Linked DNA regions of Bombyx mori. The protein of the gene in region 1 purifies or fractionates together with the protein of each later gene. This does not show direct contact. Links are inferred from orthologs where the notes say so. Each region holds a gene or a part of one and is shown in the gene's direction. Other genes may lie near its edges.

The links.
Region 2: the proteins of H/ACA ribonucleoprotein complex subunit 4 (region 1) and H/ACA ribonucleoprotein complex non-core subunit NAF1 purify together in Homo sapiens (co-immunoprecipitation; 7 studies listed by BioGRID and IntAct, counting the BioPlex papers as one, with this or other methods). This does not show direct contact. The link is inferred for Bombyx mori from reciprocal best matches to the Homo sapiens genes DKC1 and NAF1.
Region 3: the proteins of H/ACA ribonucleoprotein complex subunit 4 (region 1) and ruvB-like 2 purify together in Homo sapiens (affinity purification with mass spectrometry; 5 studies listed by BioGRID and IntAct, counting the BioPlex papers as one, with this or other methods). This does not show direct contact. The link is inferred for Bombyx mori from reciprocal best matches to the Homo sapiens genes DKC1 and RUVBL2.

Annotation. Positions count from the first base shown.
Region 1 is NC_085130.1:16,026,906-16,029,248, forward strand, and holds part of H/ACA ribonucleoprotein complex subunit 4, read left to right. Parts: intron 1-52; coding exon 53-179; 3' UTR 180-2,343.
Region 2 is NC_085109.1:2,572,582-2,575,297, forward strand, and holds the end of H/ACA ribonucleoprotein complex non-core subunit NAF1, read left to right. Parts: intron 1-542; coding exon 543-679; intron 680-1,388; coding exon 1,389-1,884; 3' UTR 1,885-2,199; downstream 2,200-2,716. UniProt on the Homo sapiens protein: RNA-binding protein required for the maturation of box H/ACA snoRNPs complex and ribosome biogenesis.
Region 3 is NC_085117.1:3,008,979-3,013,339, forward strand, and holds the start of ruvB-like 2, read left to right. Parts: upstream 1-1,554; 5' UTR 1,555-1,743; coding exon 1,744-1,749; intron 1,750-1,869; coding exon 1,870-2,056; intron 2,057-2,356; coding exon 2,357-2,473; intron 2,474-3,145; coding exon 3,146-3,227; intron 3,228-4,102; coding exon 4,103-4,265; intron 4,266-4,361. UniProt on the Homo sapiens protein: Possesses single-stranded DNA-stimulated ATPase and ATP-dependent DNA helicase (5' to 3') activity; hexamerization is thought to be critical for ATP hydrolysis and adjacent subunits in the ring-like structure contribute to the ATPase activity.

The DNA of each region.
Region 1 (2,343 bases):
CTTTATTTATACACATTTCTACACAATCTATTCAATTTCTTCATAATTCCAGTGCCGAAGCAGACGCCACTATGGACACATCGGAGTCACCAGAGACAGCAGAACAACCAGCAGATGATTCTGTGCGCAAAGAGAAGAAAAAGAAAAAGAAGAAAGATAAACAAGAGGTTGATGAATGAATTTGATGTTGCAAAACAAACAGTTTGTAGATTTTAAACTGAGTTACGTTTAGATTTGAAAGACAACATTGTACAGCTTATATTAAGAAATTGCGTTTTTTGAATTCGACATACATTTATCAGTGATACAATAATCGGATATATAAATGTAAAAAGTTGGAGATTTCATATTGAATTAACAGAAACAAGATTAATGAAATAAGTATTATATTCGTAGCAGAAGGTATTTTCACAAAATTAAATGTAATTAATCTAATTTGTAATTAGAGAAAAAAAATTCCCACCATCTCTTATCAATAATATGTATGGAAATTTAAAAACAAAACTGCTATGTTAAGTATATCAAATTTATTGGTAAAATGGTACCCTTTATTGGAAAAATTTTGAAAACTAAACACAAAACTGGATTATTCAAAAAGTATCTAAAGTGAACATTTAATAACAAGGCAAGTTTAGGCAACTAGGAAAAATACTGATTACCTTCAAATTTAATTAAATTTCAATATGGCTGCTTTTCACGAGGGCCTTGACCTTGTCTCTCAGCTGATTCTGACAATTTGGTTACATTGTGTGTTGTCAAGAAACTTCAATAATAGTAATTTTAATTTTGAATATTAACTTCAAATCAAACTAAACTTTATGTTTTATTTTACTGAAATAGTTTCTTTACACACTAAGAATATTAAGTGTAATTACGAAGTAACATGTACCCATAAATATGTCATAAGAAATGGACATGGTATTAATTGAGAATGGTTCTCTTTTAAGCGTAAAAAATATAAGTAAATTCAAATTTTGATGTAGTTCCGTTTGGAATGGACAAATGTCTATGGCGTTTACAATATTTTAACTTTAGCAATATGTTACATTGTGATTTAGCACGTAAACTACTTAAAAAATACTGTTTTTTGAAGTTATACTTTTTAAGGCGCGTTATGAAAAATTGATGAGAGTGAAATTTTACGATGCGCGCGCACCGTGACACAAAATTAACAGAATGAAGTTGTCCACTAAATCGCTCATTACAATACAACCGACGTAACTTGGCGAGTCTGAATATAGCCGCAGGTGAACTTTCCGAACCGTACCGAGAATTACCGAATTTATACGATGTCAAGAAAAGGGATGTCAAATATGCGTGTTTGAGGATGTTGTTTAATCGATTTTTTTCAAATTGATTAAAATTTAAATAAAAAAAAAAAAATAAATTTAATAAAAATAAAGTAAATCTTCTTACGCGCGTACATAAGTACACGCACCCTTTTATATGTCTAATCTATTGTGTCAAAGAGAGTCTTAAACATTGTCAAAGAATATATGAGTCGTCTATTATCAAAGGTGGCAATCATTTGGACAAAAATTTTTTATTGATATGTCAATACAGATTGATTTGAATATAATCGTCTCCTTCAAAGAATACGGTTCAAAACCTGCATTAAATAAAGGTTAATAGTTAACCTATTATTATCTAAGATGTCGTTCCGAAGAGTTTTGTGACTGCCAATGGAATACAAAGTCAATAATTCGTTTTTCTGATTTACCAATCATTGTCCAAAAGTCAGATTGCCGGCTTTGATAATAGTCGACTCATATATTCTAATCCACATTTAATTGAGTAGTTAGTAATCTTTGACACTATTGTTGTGTTACAGATCCAATTTGATAATCCTATGCGTGTTCTAGCCACACACAACTCGACAAAATCTTTTGTGATTTTTTTTATATGAATATGCATTACATAAATAGAGTATGCATGTATAATAATAACTCCCAACTGCTCCAGACTCTCTTTTAACCGAGCTGAAATCATTTGCCTCAAAAAAAAAGGTTAGTCATTTCCGTTCTAAAACTCCAATCCATAAAATTGCAGAACTCAATGCTCAAATTGCTAAAGTTAAAATTTTGTAATTTGTCGTCGTTTATTAAAACATTGTACATTGTTAAGATAGTTTATAAGATTAGTTCATAAGTGGTACGAATGAATAATGAGGAATGATGTTTTTTTTTTTCAAAATAAAAGTCCCTAACAACTCTTTTGTATTTTTTAGTGCTTAAACTTAGATTCAGAAACAAAAACCTCAAAATACATATAGAAAATTATTGAACGATAAAACAATTTAAATTAATAGGAAAACTGGCATCTTTCAATGCAGTTCTTGTCCAT
Region 2 (2,716 bases), on another chromosome or scaffold:
TATATTTCACATCCAATATCATTTGGCTCTGAAAACGCATTAAAATGTTATTAAAAAGGAATTAATACATAGCTTATGGAAATTTGTCTACATTTTTATTATTTGGAATAATACAGTGGTGAAAGATTTGAACTGTCCTATTTTTTTTTTGTTTATGGTAAATATATATATACTGTTATATAAATGTGACTGGCGGCTTACTAATTTAAATATCCTATACCGTATTCTTTGCCTGTGTGATTATATCAATGTTTTAAAATTACTGGTGGTAGGACCTCTTGGGAGTCCGCGCGGGTAGGTACCACCACCCTGCCTATTTCTGCCATGAAGCAGTAATGCTTTTCTGTTTGAAGGGTGGGGCAGCCGTTGTAACTATACTGAGACCTTAGAACTTATATCTCAAGGCGGGTGGCGCATTTACGTGGTAGATGTCTATCTGTGGATTCCAGTAACCACTTAACACCAGGTGGGCTGTGAGCTCGTCCACCTATCTAAGCAAAAAAAAATATGTTTAGTATGTTTTTTTTTTTGTTAATTTTCAGATAACGGAGCCGCACTATTGCGTCCGGTTCAACTCACTCGATCACGTCAAAGAACGAGGCGTACAAACCGGGATGGAAGTATTCATCGCGCCAAAAAGCCAACACACTAATTACGTATTTATATCAGAACTGATGAAGTGAGTTTGTATTTGAAACTTGTTTGCAGGGTTTTTTATTTATTAATTATCGTCAAACCAACTACGAAACCAAATTAACTGTTACCTTAAAAGAACATAACACATTAATTAGTTTTCATAAATAGTGTATTTCTGACACACAGTAAAGTCAACTAGCATAAGGCCCTCCCGTTGTCTCGACACCACAGATCCCCGGGTCCGTTGAACTTTCATTAGTGCTACTTTGCCATTTTTAGTGCCATCATAACATTAGGTTTTTTTTTATTCCTACTTAAGCTGATAGCCTTGAGAGGCTATATCAGCGTAGCCTTAGCTAGTAGGTGAGCTCACGGGGCTCAAACCTGACGACGTTGCTAACACGAACCCTAGCAATAGCCGTGCTTCGCAGAATCTACCACCGGATCGGAAACGCGATCGATCCACTGAAAAGATCCGGCGAGAAACTCAGTGGGCTGTGTCTGAGGGTTAATTTACTCGTCGAGCCCTTCGTCGCAAGCGACGGGTTCGACGAGAACGATGACCGCTGCTTGTGGTACCGAAAGCACCGTTAGTGGATCGGGAGGATCCGAAATGACGTGTTTGGGGCGACGTCGACTGCTTTCCATTATGTCCGCAGGATCGGGAATGTAGTTACCGGCTTTATCGAAGTGTAACATTAGTAATCGGAGATCATTATATCAAATTTATTTTTCTTTCTTCTTCCTTCCAGAGTGAGAGGCTGTGACGCTTCTTGGCTGAACGACATCGAGCCGCCGCCTAGTCACATCGACTACTCCGACGACGAAGAGGAGCGCAGGGCGGCGCGGGCTCGCAAGACGAAAAACAAAGAAGACGAGAACACTCAGAACGACGGAGAAACGTCCCGGAACGTTCGGAAACCGGTCGAGAGACGGAACCAGAGGCCTTCGGAGTGGAATAGCAGATTCGGTAGCGGGCCGAGCAGAGGTCGCAATCCTTTCGCGCTCGGGTCCAGGCGCCACGGCAGACCTCCCCCTCTCTCTGCAGACGGATCGGCTTTCATCCCTCCCTTCAACCCGAACACCCCGCCCCCCTATAACCCGGCAGCGCCCCCTCCGTTCTCAAGCCTGTTCCAGTTCGGAAGCTCTCCGCGCCTGCACAGTCCCTTCCGCACCAACGCTCCGGTGTTCATGTCCACCCCGGGTCCGCACTGGCTCACCCGCCCCCCTCCCCCACCCGGAACTTAATGCGGCCGCGTACAACGATTTAGGTTTTAATCTCTGTAATTATCAATACACAATTTGGGTAACCTTGACCTCTTCGTGAGAGAGGTTGTTCCAGAGAAATTTGAAAACGCTTTCCAGTAGGAATATTCTGTTGGATAAATAAATGCGCGTACTGTATATCCGAGGTCGAGCGGCCAACGTTCCCTGCGAGGTCAAAGTTACACATGTTGATTACAATTAGTTTACTACGGTTATCGCAGTTATTGTTTAACAATACTGAACGTGTGGTTATCCAAAAATTATATTTATACTATAATAAATATGATACCTCATTCAGCCATCGGTTTTATTTGCTTTTATTCTGTTAAAAATTAAGTCGATCCTTGGAAGAGTTTTCAAACGCTTGGGCGTACAAAACGATGCAAAAATATGTTAAAACTTTTTAAGACAGTTAATAGGATTAGTGGACTATTAGTGATCTGTGTTGAAATTGCAGTTTTAACTAAATAGCATAATTAAGGTAAAGTAACGCAAACTCTCAAAATATACACTGGTACACAGTAAGAAAACCGAAAACCGAAAACTGAATACTGTGGCAGGTATATCTTTAGCAAGTGAAGGATACCACAGATCGCTCTTGAGCCTAGTTTAGGGCAATCCTAAACTTGACACTTTATATATCATTGTTTTCAGTATGGCAACACAAGTCGTTGCAGTTGCACAAAAAATTCTGGTCGTAATTGCACGGTTCTTTATTCTATGTATACAATACCGTCTTTACCATAAGGGTACACGTGGCCCTTATCCAGAGCCCTCATTCTCAGGGGGCCCCGAAAGACCGACAATTTCTCTC
Region 3 (4,361 bases), on another chromosome or scaffold:
TCTCCGTCTAATGAGGCCGAAAATCCGCCATGTTTAGCGCGCCAAATGTCATTGTCACGTCAGTTCGGCCGTCTGTTTTGGGTTTTACATTATTTATTGACTTTGATATCGATTTAATATGATTGCTTATATAAAATTTCTTATTTTATCATGCTTAAAACATACAAAAATAATAATTAAAACATATTTTATAGGATCTCAAGAAAGTCGTCGGAACTATTTAAATAAAATAGTTTTATAACACTATTGTCAACTCGTTTAATATTTAATAATTAAGTGATTTTAGAGAGGAAGTCACAAGGAATGTTTGTAATTTTATTAACGAATAAATGTTTTGTAGGTGTTTTTTTTATCAGGCGGTCCCTTGATAAGTTTAAAATGGTGCGGCGTACCTTCCTTGAGGTGCGCTGCGGTAGTGTGTTACGGACTTTAGAGTCAGCAAAACAATTAAAATAGATTGTAATAGTCTAAGAAAAACACGTACTCAAAATACGATATCATTCAGCATGCTCGAAATGGGCAGATGGCACTGTACTACGCCATATCTTTATGTTTTGCGGCAAACGACAACTTTATAAAATTAGTGTAGCAAATTTTAAAAATCGTCATATCGTTTACTTGGCAAATTTAAAGCACGAACTCGTCTTAGATTACACATAATATCTAAATCACATCATCTTTGCACATAACAATATACTTACTTCCTATTAAAGTATAAATTCGACAAATACATTCACTCAACAATATTTAAAATAAAATGAGCCAAGAACGTTTATCGATAAAACCTACTAACATTAAAATCATCTGGGCAGCACTAAAACCGCCATCTTTTGTGGCCAGATGACGTCACAGTGGCACGAATTTTTTGTTGACGTTTCATTTCCATAGGTTTCCTACTTCAGTGATTAAACGAGACTTCAGCCACTGTGATGTCTACGCACTCTGGTAACTTAATAGGCTAGCTATAAGGTCGTATAGCTAACGAAATATATAAAAAATAGAGTGAAAGCCGTGGCTGTATGAAAGTGAGAGCTGGTTTGATTAGGGATGGTCCTACAATGTTTCGGTGTTAAAAAAAACGATATTAAAAATTTGTTTATGAAAATCTTATCAAATTCATAGTGAAATGATGTTCTCTTGGTTTATATGTCTATTGTGTTTGAAAAAGGCTATTAAAAATAAGCTTTTCTCTTATTCAGAGTTATTTTTGTTAAAAATACCATGAAAGTCTTTTGAGATAATTTTTTTATGAATGAGGGATTACTGGTGGCCCGGAGGCTTTTCCAATTTCACCAGGACAGATGGGTGAACAAAGGCTCAGCCAGGGGGGCTAGGATTTGCTAACAGCTCCTAAGCGCCTTCAAAGGAGACCTACAACCTAAAAACAGCTGCTTTACGAATGAATCTACTACTAGATCGGAATCGCAACCCGCTGAGAATATCCACCGAGAAACTCAGCGGGCTAACGCATGGATTAGGTGGCACGACGAACTAACTAAAAAACTATCTAACATCGAAACTTAACGAAAACATACATTCGGTGACAGCTGTCAGTCGCGATCATCGAAGTATACGACGAATCAAATGTCAGTGTCATGTCATTAACGTAGTATAATCTGTTTTGTTAAATTTGTTTGGAGACCAAACACGCAAAAGCGCCGCATTTGTTTTTGTGAAAATTACATTTAAAACATAGTTAATTAGTATTAAAACTACCTCACTAGTGTTTAAAATACCACGAAAATGGCTGTAAGTATCTAAGCTTTATGTATAATTCGTAAATAGTGTGTATTTAAACTGAAATCATAACCTCAAAAATTGTAAAATTGGGATTTTCCTTCAGAATAAAAAAGTCATTGTACGTTTTAGTCAATAGCAGCGGCGCAAGTACAAGAAGTGCGTTCTATAACGCGCATCGAGAGAATTGGCGCGCATTCCCACATTAGAGGACTGGGCTTAGATGACTCTTTGGAGCCAAGACAAGTATCGCAGGGCATGGTCGGCCAGAAGATGGCAAGGAAGGCCGCCGGAGTCATCTTACAGATGATTCGAGAAGGTATCCTAAAGGAAACTTTTTGATCAAACAATACAGTTGCTAGGTAACAAGAAATTTTCAAACTTTTTTTTCAATTAAACAGTTTGCGGCTTAGGAGCTAAAATGTTATGTTTATGAACTCGTTTTCTATGGTACTGCTATGTCCTTTTGTTATAATATTCTTTCATCACTTAACTAATTTGTTTAGATAAGCAGTGTAGAGTAATAAAAAACTGAGTGGAACCTTGTGGGCGCCAGTTAAGCGCAGCCCGGTCAACAGGTGAATTTATATCACATACATCTACAATATTGTAATTATAGGTAAGATAGCGGGACGAGCAGTGTTATTGGCCGGTCAGCCTGGTACAGGGAAGACTGCCATCGCTATGGGACTAGCACAAGCTCTGGGACCGGACACACCATTTACGAGCATGGCCGGTGAGTGAAACAATTCCACCATCTTTTTTTATTATTTACATGTGTTTTTTTTTTAATACAACTCACCTTTTTTTTTGTCAGTCCTCAATTTATTTCGTTAGTTTGTTTGCCTTAAATTTAAGCTGCATTATGTTCTAAATACATAATTCAGGCACAGTTGTTTTTTTACATTTAGTTGATAATTCTAAAATAAGTGTTAATTGCATTAGAGAATTAATAAATAAATCAAAATGCATAATTTGTATGGTACTATGTTAATTGTTCCTTAATAAATCAATTTGCGAGTGTGGCTGACTAAAACTTCTGCTGTAAATTAGATATTTTTGTTACCACCATGATCAGCTTTGGTTTCAGCTATCTTCATGAGATTCAAGTTACTTATGGTTAGCTTTGAAAGACGCTCATCAATGAATATATCCTAGTTTCTCACTTTTATATATCCATAAACACAACCCAGTGAGTTTCTCGTCCGATCTTAGCTGATCGCGATTCTCATCCATTAGCTTGGCCATATTTGCTTGCTTATTAGCAAAATTTCTCAGGCTGACCCAATGAGCTCATAAACCGTCCGGGTGGAGCTGAATAGTTCGATAGGAAACTAGCAAATGGGTAGAGTAAAAAATAACTATTTAATTTTATTGAAATAAATTTATATTGTTTTCTCTTTGACAGGTTCGGAGATATTCTCTTTGGAAATGAGTAAAACTGAGGCTCTAACGCAGGCCATCAGGAAGTCTATAGGTATTAGAATTAAGTAAGTAAAATTTTATATTGTTCATTATACATACCACTAACTACTACTACTATTGCACTAACTAAGAATTTGTATGGTACATTGTAAACATATATTACATGAAAACATAAGTGGATGAGGGGGATATGATACAATTTGTTAATTTTGAGAAAACGTTTCTTTCTTGTACTTTTTCTTCGTACACAACTCCTTCCTCAATTTCTAAATATAACCTTTAAACCTGGCGTTTTAAGGTCTAATATGGTTTATAGGCACATAACACCTTCATCCAAAGTAAAAACTCAAAAATCTTAAAAATTGTACTTAACCCCTTCATCCACTCATGTCTTTAATCTATGTGAATTATTGTATGTATATTCGAAATTACTTTTTTACGGTTTTTATTTCATTTTTTCATCGTTGAAACGGGTGAATATGCTCACGGCCCATGGAGGTCAGTGGACATCAATGACGTAATTGTCATCTTGAGACGTGAGTTCTTTAGAACAACGGCTGGCCCCACCCTTCAAAGCGAAACGCATTATAGCTTGAGAATGACGTTCAAAGTTAGTTACGTCGTTTAGACTTTACGTCTTTTTAATGTTTGTGTGTGTGTGTGTTTTTCTTTCCTACCTTATCTGATAGCTTTGAGAGGTTATGTCAGCGTCACCGGGCGAGTAGGTTAGCCCACAGGGCTCAAACCTGATGACGTTGCTAAGACGAACCCTAGCAAGAGCCTAGCTTCTCAGAATCTGCCACCGGATCGCTACCTACTGAGAAGATCCGGCGAGAAACTCAGTGGGTTGAAGAACGATGACCGCTGGACCACTTTCACCCTTCGATATGATTTTTGTACCAGCGTTGCCTTATTGATATTTTATTATTCGTAATCGCAGGGAGGAGTCTGAGATAATTGAAGGGGAGGTCGTCGAGGTGGTAGTGGAGCGTGCGGCGGGGGGCGGCGGCGCCAGGGTCGGCCGTCTCACCCTCAAGACCACCGACATGGAAACGAACTACGACATGGGAGCCAAAATGATTGATTCGCTGCTTAAAGAGAAGGTCTGATATATGGTACTCTGGTACTAAGGTTTATCGACAAAGCGAAAATCTTCCACTGAGTTGGTGATATTGCTCGGTAGAGATACGGTCAGTTTT